Linked DNA regions of Cricetulus griseus. Each later gene encodes a partner of the first gene's protein in a complex. Links are inferred from orthologs where the notes say so. Each region holds a gene or a part of one and is shown in the gene's direction. Other genes may lie near its edges.

What was found. Proteins that work in one complex are often made in the same cells at the same time.
Region 2: Lsm6 (region 1) and Lsm7 share a complex: the UniProt entries of both Homo sapiens proteins name them as parts of the precatalytic spliceosome. The link is inferred for Cricetulus griseus from reciprocal best matches to the Homo sapiens genes LSM6 and LSM7.

What each region holds. Positions count from the first base shown.
Region 1 is NC_048596.1:154,693,080-154,698,229, reverse strand, and holds the start of Lsm6 (U6 snRNA-associated Sm-like protein LSm6), read left to right. Parts: upstream 1-1,618; 5' UTR 1,619-1,756; intron 1,757-2,159; exon of another isoform or gene 2,160-2,178; intron 2,179-3,018; exon of another isoform or gene 3,019-3,088; intron 3,089-5,150. UniProt on the Homo sapiens protein: Plays a role in pre-mRNA splicing as component of the U4/U6-U5 tri-snRNP complex that is involved in spliceosome assembly, and as component of the precatalytic spliceosome (spliceosome B complex).
Region 2 is NC_048598.1:101,633,857-101,638,878, reverse strand, and holds Lsm7 (U6 snRNA-associated Sm-like protein LSm7), read left to right. Parts: upstream 1-1,784; 5' UTR 1,785-1,848; coding exon 1,849-1,854; intron 1,855-2,714; coding exon 2,715-2,808; intron 2,809-3,681; coding exon 3,682-3,753; intron 3,754-4,344; coding exon 4,345-4,487; 3' UTR 4,488-4,611; downstream 4,612-5,022. Other genes in the region: Sppl2b (signal peptide peptidase-like 2B), read right to left, coding at 1,643-1,693. UniProt on the Homo sapiens protein: Plays a role in pre-mRNA splicing as component of the U4/U6-U5 tri-snRNP complex that is involved in spliceosome assembly, and as component of the precatalytic spliceosome (spliceosome B complex).

The sequences.
Region 1 (5,150 bases):
TTTTCCTTGTGAATATAGTAAAAGATGATCCTGGGGAGTGTGGGAGGCTGGCTGGTGTTTTGGTAAAGGCCAGTTATAAGCTGCTGAGAAGTTTCTTAGAATAACCACATATCTATAAGTTTGTTGGCCCAACCATTTGTTGCCCTTGAAGACAGTAGCAAGTATCCTGCAGATGAACCAGGCTCTTCCCACTTTCTGCTCACCAGCCAAGCTCAATGGCTGCATCCCAGCTTTGTGGCACAGTAAAAGCAGCTCTGAATCTATCTCTACTACTTATTTCAGTCTACATATGTAATGTATATTTGATAATTAAAGCAATCAGTGAGGAACACAGTACAATTCTTTTGAGATAAGGTTTCAAATAGCCCAGCTGATCTCAAACTCATTTTGTAGCCTCAAATGAGCTTGGATTTCTGATCCTCCTGAAGCCACACTTGGGTGTGCACTGCTGTGCCCACCACTGTGGTGCCAGAGATGTTAATGCACACCAGGCATGCCATCAACTGAGCCAAATCCTCAGCTTCCAGTTTGATTTACAAAGCAGCCTGTTTTAGGGACAGGGCATAGCACTTTTCTTCTCTGCAGACAGTTATTTGATTTAAATGTGACTTTACTTGTGTTCTTAATTTTATATTTTACATTTCAAGAGCCTAAAATGCTGTCTTATCAATGTCTGTAGTTGACGGTCTTCGAGTCAGCTGAGGTTTTACAGAGGATAGAAAGATATGGCTGTTCCTTACCAAATCTCAGCCAGTTCTCTGTCTGTGGCACCAGTCACTGGTCTGTTTCTTTCGCCATTCACTAAGAGGCTCTTAGGAAAGGAGGAACCACTTTCTGTCTCAGGAAAAAGTTCTGCATTGTAGGACCTGTAAGATCTAACAGGGTGTGTAGCTGTTGTTTGAAGGTCTTATAACTGTGTTGATGATTAAACATCAGAAACAATTAAAATATAAATCTTAAATACAATATAAAAGAGAAATTAAAATATAAATGTAAAATATAAATGAGAGCATGGGTGTAGAAAAAAAGGAATCAAGTCTTCCTGTAATCTCTTCCTTCCATAAACAGTCAGCATACACTAAGAATTCATGCATTATCCCCAACCAAGTTCCCCCACAGCACTTAAATGGTATCTGCATGCTGTTTCCAATTAAACTAATTTGTAATGTCTTTTTACAATTGGCGCCATTGTAATAGAGTTGCTTTAAATTATTTATATTTTTGTAGCAAAATTGCTATGGAAACAATCTCTAACAGTAACTTAAACTTCATACATTTAATTAATATTCAGAAGTCGGTTGGGAGCTTGAGGCTTTTAACTTTTATTTGCTTTAAATTATTTAAGGCTATTTGGGGTACTTAATAGCCTATTATTTTAATCGTAAGTTTCTGTTTCCTGTCATTTTTAAGGTATTCTTTACTGTATTGGAATCTCAAAAGATTACTTCTAAATTTTTTTTCTTGGTTGTTTTGCTTTTGATTCGATTTTCTGGCAAAAAAAAAAAAAAAAAGACGGCAACATCAGAACACCGGCATTTACTTCAGCCCCTGGATGCTGAATTCACCACTGAAGAAACCAATTCTTGGAAGTGAGCGTTATGGAACGGCCTGATCCTTTTGGTCCCCGCGGGCTGCCGTAGGCAAGGAGGCCGCTGATTGGGTGAGGCAGCGAAGCGCGCTGCCGGGGGCGGTTTCGGTTTTCGCCGCGCGCGTCCGCGGAGGCCCGGCCTGTGAGGGCTCCGGATCCGGCTGCGAGGTGAGCCCGCGCGCGGCCCGGGAGGGAGGGGCGGTGGGGCGGGTGGGTGCTTGGAGCGGAGCGGTCGGCCTAGGCCGCGGAGGGCCGGGGCGGGCGGGGTTGCGGCTGGAGCCCAGGCCGGCCTGCGAGCAGCGGAAGGCCGTCAGGGCCACGCGGCCTCGCGCTCCCGCGCCGTGCGGTCCTGCCGTGCGCGCGCCGGGCGCCGGCTGTGTCAGCCCGGGTTAGGCGGCCGCCGCTCCCGCGCCCCCCTCCTCCGTGCGCGCTCGAGTCCCTCCACACGAGGACACGAGGAGCCGGGGAAAGGATCCCTGCTGGGCGCTTCCGTCTGCCCACTCCTCTCCTCCTGTGTGTGCCTGCTTCTCTTTCCGCTAGTACTACCAGAAATACTCGGTCTTCTGTCTACGTTAAACACATGCAGCCAGGTGTAACTTTAACATTCATTGCTTTTGTTTTGTCATTGCCTGGGTCCCATAAGTGACTCCGGTGTTTCCCCGATGGCTTCATCTTAGCGTCCATGCGATCCTGGGATGCACTTCCCGCCCTTGACTCTATTTCTCACCATCTCCTTGGACAAGTTCTCAGAGGAGAAGTCATTGGGTTAGATAGTTCTTGCACGTTGCCGGGTTGGTTCTCTTTAAAGTGTTAGTAAATTACCTCGTTCGTGTGTGACACCGGTTCTTTCACCAAATCCGTGAACACGCCTCCTGTGTTTCTAACAGTAGCAGAGTACAGCCTCTCTTTGGAATCGTTACTGATCTCGTTTAAACTTGCACGGAGTTTCTCAGTCTGGCCTTGAACTTTGGATCTTCCAGCAGTTGTGGTTCCGGGGTTACTTCAGGCATTGTTATTTTTTATTGTAATGCCTGTCGTTCTGCCATCAAGGTTTTCCTGCCGAATCTTCGTAGGAGGGGCAGGGAGAGAGAGAGAGCTGGTATTAACTGTGTGTGTTGGTATTACTGCACAACTTAACCACGTGCTTACTGGTATTCTCTCTCTCTCTCTCTCTCTCCCTCCCTCCCTCCCTCCTCCCTCCCTTCCTGTCTCTCCCCTCCTCCTCCCCCGTGTGTGTGTGTGTGTGTGTGTTGTGTGTGTGTGTGTGTGTTGTGTGTGTGTGTGTGTGTGTGTGTGTGTGTGTGTGTGTGTGTGTGCGGTGTGTGTTGGTATTAACTGTGTGTGTGTTGGTATTACTGCACAAGTTAACCAGATGCTGGAACAGAAAGACATAGTCAGTAACCATCTAGCATAACTCCCTTATTTTTCAGATGAGCCTGGGGCCATGAGAGGTGAGATGGGTAGCAGAGGAGATTAGAATACAGGTTACCTGCCTCCCAAGTGAGTACCCTTAACTACTGCATCAGGTCTTCTCTCACTGAAGGGTGGCCTAATAGAATTTTTTTTATTTGATTTTTTTTTTAATTCCCTGGCTTGCTTTCTCCTTTTATAATGAAGGACTGGAAAATAGAAAAGTCACTTTTTTTGTGTGTCCAGAACTAGAAATTTATTAGAATGCCAACCCATTCAAGATTTTAATGGTTGTTTTCAGGTTCTCAGTGTTGGGATAAAATACTCCTGATAAGTAAGACAGTTGTCCCTCAGTATCTGAGAGGGACTGGGTACAGAGCTCCCAATATTAAAAAGTGCATGGATATTCAAAGTTCCATATGTGTGTTTGCATATAACCTATGCAGTCTTCCTATGTTGTTCACATCATCTCTAGATCACTCACAATGTGTAATAGGATGTAAATGGTTGCAATGGAATATTGCTTAGGGAGTAATGACAAGGGAAAAGCCCTTTAGCTCTGTAACAGGTAAAACCATTGGAGCTGTAATTGCAACTTCATGTTACTAGATGTTGGCTGGATACACAGATAAGGAGAGGTGACTAGTTTATGTACTCATCATCTGGTTCTCATTTACATCTTGATTATTCTAAAGTACCTTGCTTGTTGTTTAAACCAGAAAATAAGGTTTGAAGAGGAGGGGAGGAGGTGGTAGTGGCAGTCATTCTGTGAGTTGACACGTTGCATCATATAGTCCTTTGTTGTAAAGGACTAGACTCTACACCAGTGGTTCGCAGCCTGTGGGCCGAGTCCATGAAAGACCCTTTCATGGAGATCACATAGCAGATATTTACATATGATTCATAACAGTAGCAAAATTACATTTATGAAGTAGCAATGAAAATAATTTTATGGTTGGGGTCACCACACATGAGGAATTATATTAAAGGGTTGCAGCATTAGGAGGGTTGAGAACCACTGCTCTACACTGTAGACTGTTGAGGGATGTCCTTGGCTTCTCTTCACTAGAGTCTGATTCCCGCTTTGACAATACATAATGTCTGTAGACATTTCCAAATGTTCCTAGAGGGTGGGGCACAAAAATCACCTTTGGTTGAGAACAACTTGCTCTTAGGAATTACCGTAGGCAACTTGATGTCAAAGTGCTTATGGTCAAGCCTGGCAACCCGAACTCAATTGCTGAACCCCACTTAGTGTAAAGAGAGAACAGACTCCCAAAAGTTATCCTGTGGCATATGCTTATTGCCCCTGCCCCACTAAATAAAACAAATGAATAAAAGCAATAAAAACAAAAAGCAAAGGACAGCCTTTTGGCTGAGTTAGCTACAGCAATCTGTGTCTGAACAGGCATCTTTGTAGATGTGGGTGTCTTGCCTTCTAAGCAAGTGCCCCTGCTTTCCTTTCTTGTATCACCTACTGGTCATTCATGAAGGTCTTACTGACTAGCAGGGTTAGAGTAGCTGGACCTGTGGTGTGTAGGTTGCTGAGGAGGGATTGGGACAGGGCTTTTGTTTGACACTGGCTTTGAATGCTTCTTCTACAGGCTTGCTCAGTCTGTTTAGGTGCCAAGGCTACCTGTCCCCTTAAAGTTTAAAAAATCTCTGTAGGAGACTGGATCTGATATGCTTAGCATATCACTAGGTGAATAAAATTGACACACATACCATACCTCCTTCCCCGATTCTTTACCCATTGTTAACTTTGAAAAAAGTCATTGTACAGCAGATGCTGTCATACTTGACCTCTTGGTGGCTTCTGGCCAGAAATAGAGTGCCACTTACAAAAATAGGTCACTTAAAACAAGCCTGCATAGGAATCGAGGAGGGACTGGAGTCCTAGAGAAGGAAGGTGAGTATATCTGATTTTGAAAGAAGTTTTACCAAGGTGACCCTGCCAGAAGGAAGTCCTTTTCTTGTGTTTATGGCTCAAGAGTCTTATCTCTTGCTTCAAAAATTGTCAGAACTATTCCTTCTGCCTTATCCAATTTAAAAGATGAAAACTTAAAATTACTTGAGCCAAGTGATGAGAAAAATTGTGGTGCCAAGACCAATTTACTTGTACAAAATGGATTTATGGGCAAGTCATTAAGTA
Region 2 (5,022 bases), on another chromosome or scaffold:
CTTCACTGCCAGCCTGGACCCAGGCCCTTCTGCTCCATTATCTCTAACTCCGAGGAGGAAAGTCCCTGCTGTAGGGAACCACCACAGATGCCACCTCCAGGCATCATGTGCTCATCCCCGGGGGAAACACCATCTCTTACACCTAGGGCTAGCACCTGCTGCCCACAGCACCCTTCTTCTCCCCTCCTTGGCAAACTCCTATTCATCCTTCAGAACCTCCCAGTGTCTGTCCCTAAAAAACCCTCCATCAGGTCAAATAGACCAGTAAGAAAGGCCCGGGCCGGCCAGGGCAGGTCCAGTAGAGACTAGACAACCAGGGGCATTCTGAAGTCAAAGAAAAGACAGGGAGAGCCGGGTGGTGGTGGCGCAGCCTTTAATCCCAGCACTCAGGAGACAGAGGCAGGCGGATCTCTGTGAGTTTGAGACCAGCCTGGTCTACAGAGTGAGTTCCAGGATAGGCTCCAAAGGCACAGAGAAACCCTGTCTCAACCACCACCACCCCCTAAAAAAAAGAATAGCCTTGGTGGACATCACCTGCCCAAAGACGGAGGCTTCCAGACAGGCCAGTGGCCTGGTAAAAATGAGGCAGAGAGAGCTGAGGACTGCTGGCAGGGTGGGGAGCCCTGACACACTTTCAAAAGCTCATGCCCAGCCAAGAGCGGGATGTGGGGACAAAAACGTCAAAGGGGGATGTGGGCCACATGGTGGAGAGGCTAGGAACGCCACGCCTGGGTAATGTCTTAACTTCTTAGCCAATCAAGGAAGAGCATGCCAGTTGTGCCAGTGTTGGGAAGGCTGAGGCTCAGTTACAAGTTCAATGCTAGCCTGGGCTATAAAAGGAGATCCTGTCTCAAGATTTTGTAATCTTGAAAAAAAAAAAAAAGTATTTGAAAGAACGATCCAGACCCAGGGTCCATGAGAGAAGATGAATATATAGAATAACGTGCACAGGCCACCCTGTGGGCCATCCGCATTAGAACCCAGCAACTGCCCCGTGTGCCCGAGGCTGCAGCCCTTCACGAACCATTGGGACTGGAGCCTGATGCCACAGAAACAAACAAGAAATCTAACAACTAAGCCAAGTGTTGTGACGCAGGCCTGGCATCCCAGCACTTGGGAGACTAACAGGGTGTTCAGGGCCAGCCTGGGCAACATGGCAAAGTCAAGAGACCATCCTGGGCTGCAGCGCTTGTGGGAGGCCAGCGCGCATTACAGAATGAGTTCAAGGCCAGCATGCGACTGTGTCTCAGCAAGCGACGCTCACCAAACGTCCTGCCTCGGCACCGGGTCGGGGCGCATCCCGCGGCACCCGGAGGCCCCCACGGGTCCCCCGCGTGTTGCATTGACTGACCCAGAGGTGAGGAACCCCTCCTGCCCAAGGTCACGGAGCAGAAGCCGGGATGCAGGGCTGCAGGCACCCGGGGACCCTCCCGAGCCCCTGGGGGAGGAGGACGGGGACTCGCCCCATTCTGCAGAAGAGGAAACTGAGGCTGGCAGGGGCGGCGGCGGCAGTTGGGGCCCCGGGGCGCAGGGCGGGCTAAGCCCGGCCCGAAGTCTGCGGTGGCGACAGCGAGGGGACGACAGCAAGGTCTCGGCCACGGTCACGAGTGGTGCAGCCGAGCCGACCAGCCGTGGCGCTCACCTGGGCCGCGAGCAGCAGCAGCAGGGCCGCGGCGAGCCGCGCCGCCGCCATGTCCGCCTGTCCTGCCGCAGCTCTAGGCGGAAGGTTTCCCGGCAACGCCTTCGGGACCCCGAGACGCGCACGCGCCGGCCCTGCGCGTGCGCGGGCCCGCCCCTCGCTAGAAGTGGGCGGTGCGGAGCCTGCGCAGAGCAGCGCAGGTCGGCAAGATGGCGGTGAGCATTGCTGGGTCGCGGAGAGAGCGGGGTTCCCCCCGAGGGACTGTAGACGCGAAAACTGGGGGCACAGGAGGACCAAAGAGAGGGGGGCGGACACCCGAAGACGGATAGGGAGACAGGGACGCGGAGGAATAGGAATCACGTGGGACTGCACACCGGGCGTCTTGAGGAAGCAGACCGGGAACCTGGGGAAGCAGACCCGGAACCTGGGGAAGCAGACCCGGAACCTGGGGAAGCAGACCCGGAACCTGGGGAAGCAGGCGGGGAACCTGGGGGTGCAGACCCGGAACCTGGGGGTGCAGACCGAGGAACCTGGGGGTGCAGACCGGGGAACCTGGGGGTGCAGACCGGGAACCTGGGGGTGCAGACCGGGGAACCTGGGGGTGCAGACCGGGGAACCTGGAGGGTGCAGACCGGGGAACCTGGGGGTGCAGACCGGGGAACCTGGGGGTGCAGACCGGGGAACCTGGGGGTGCAGACCGGGGAACCTGGGGGTGCAGACCGGGGAACCTGGGGGTGCAGACCGGGGAACCTGGGGGTGCAGACCGGAGGGGGAACCTGGGGGTGCAGACCGGGAACCTGGGGGTGCAGACCCCTGGGGGTGCAACCTGGGGGTGCAGACCGGGAACCTGGGGGTGCAGGCAGGGGACATGAGGATATACACAGGGGGCATGGGAATAGAGAGAGATGCAGACTCAGCGACCTGGAATTTAGTTGGGGGAACATGGGAGATGGAAATGAGTTTGCAGACAGTTATGAGGGCTGCAGGATGGTCAAAAGGAGTCGCTGGGTGCCGGGTCCAGGCAACAAGGATATGGGAAGACTGGGTCTCACTCCTCAGCTCCTCCACTCTCCAGCAGGACAAAGAGAAAAAGAAGAAAGAAAGCATCTTGGACCTATCTAAGTACATTGACAAGACCATCCGAGTGAAGTTCCAGGGTGGCCGGGAAGGTGAGTGGATGCAACAGGGCCCCTAAGAATCGGGGTTGCGACAAGCAAGGGAAAGCCTCACAAGGCAGGCATTTTAACTCTTAACAAAGGCTAAGCTTGGGCCATCCTGTTACTTGAGAGGTACCAGTATGTCTCAATTGTGGATGGGGAAAATGAGTCCCAGGGAAAGAAAGCCAGGTGCGGTAGCACCCACACCATTATTGCTGGAGCCTGAAGGAAGAGGCCAGAAAGCTGGGAGGACATAGAAGAAGGAGGCAACAGGGGGATGGAAGGAAGGCATCCCTTCAAGAGCCTGGAGGTAGCAGGGACCCAGGAGGTTTCCAGTAGCAGGATCAGGGAAAGTTCCAGCCAGTCTGAGCTATGTGGCAAGACCTGTCTCCAAAAATCAACCAGGGCTAGGCTATAGCTTGGTGGATAGAGGGTTGGTTTAGTGTGCATAAAGCCCTGGATTTTATCTCCAACACCATGGAAACCAGGTGTGGTTGTACAAGCCTGCTATTCCAACCCTAGGAAGGTAAACACAGAATCGGGAAGTTCAAGATTATTTTCAGGTTGCCTAGTGAGTCTGAGGCCAGCCTGGGCAAATGATACTCTCTCATACAAATGGGAGGGGAAAAAAGGCTATTTTGTGTTACATGGAAACTATACAGAATTCAGTTTGGGGGATGATAACATTTTATTGACACTTGGTCCACCATGAACTCACTATCTATGGCCCCTTCCACACTTGTAGGAAGAGAGTTGGGGGTCATAGTCAGCAGGCCACCACATAGGGACATGTCTCCCCATGAGTTCTGTAGTGATAACTGTCCCCATGCCTGGGTCTGTAGTGGGAGGACAATAACATCATCCTTACCCATCTCTCCCTTCAAGCCAGCGGGATCCTGAAAGGGTTTGACCCACTGCTCAACCTGGTGCTGGATGGAACCATTGAGTACATGAGAGGTGAGCTGGCTGTGGTTGTCCAGGGATGCCACCAGGCCCTGTTTCTTCTCCACACCTGTGCAGTCACATTGCCGCAGGTGGTGCTGACCTAGGGTGCAGGTCCCTCCCTGATCACCAGAAAGGTGACAGGCCCACCATGATGGCCCCAGGCTTGAGATTTCAGCTCCTTCCCCTCAGCCCTCCTGGGGATGGCAGAAATAGTAGCTACTGTCCTCTGTCTGGATTGTTTGCCTGTGTCACCAGCTCCAGGACGCATAGGATCTCAGCTTATTCCAGAATAGTACCTGTAATGCCCAAAGAGTGTCCCTTCCTCTGCACCCACAACAATTACTTTCTAATTGCTCCCTGTCTCCACCTCTGGTCCATCCTCCCCGGGGCCTCTGCTTCCCCTGCAGACCACTCCTTGGGGTGAGTATCTGCCCTGGGTTCTTGTAGTATCCATGCCTACAGTCGGCTCTGAGACCCCAGGGCCTGGGTGTGTCAGTCCCCAAAAGAAAGATGGGACAGCCCTCTGAGGTCCTGGTTGTGGAGTGCTGGGTGGAAAGGACATGTCTTCAGTTCCTCTTGCCTGTCACCCCCTATTCCCACCAGACCCTGATGACCAGTACAAGCTGACAGAAGACACACGGCAGCTGGGGCTTGTGGTGTGCCGAGGCACCTCAGTGGTGCTCATCTGCCCACAGGATGGCATGGAGGCTATCCCCAACCCCTTCGTGCAGCAGCAGGATGCCTAGGTGGAGAGCGATCTGGCCCCAAGGACCTTCCTTCCTGTGTGAACTTTGTTTGGTGTTTTACTTTTGGATTTTGTTTCTGGTTTTTTATTTTGTTTTTTAATAAAATTGCCCACTTGAGCACCCAGGTGTCCTCTCCTACCCCTTCTGCTTTGTCACTTTGGTCATCTGAGAAGCCAGGGGTGGCTCAGGGCAGAACACAGCACAACTTGAGATTCGAGATTAGCAAAGGGACCAGAAAAGCCTGGGCCCCTGAGGTCCCCTCAGCTGGGCCCAGCCTCACCTCATAGCCTTTCCTCTCCTGGGCTGTGGCAAGAGGACACCACCCTCTGGATCCTGCCAGGACTTTGCCTTCCCCCACGTGCAGTCCTCAGTAGCACTGTCCCCAGTGCCTTGTACCCTGACACATGCAGACACCAAGAGAAGTGGAGGGACGGCTGCTGAGCACAGTGGCTGGCAGTGAGCCTGGGGCCCTGGGGTCCCTCAGGGTAGGACAACTACCAGGGACATGTGCCACAGGGAAAGGGCCGAGGCCAAA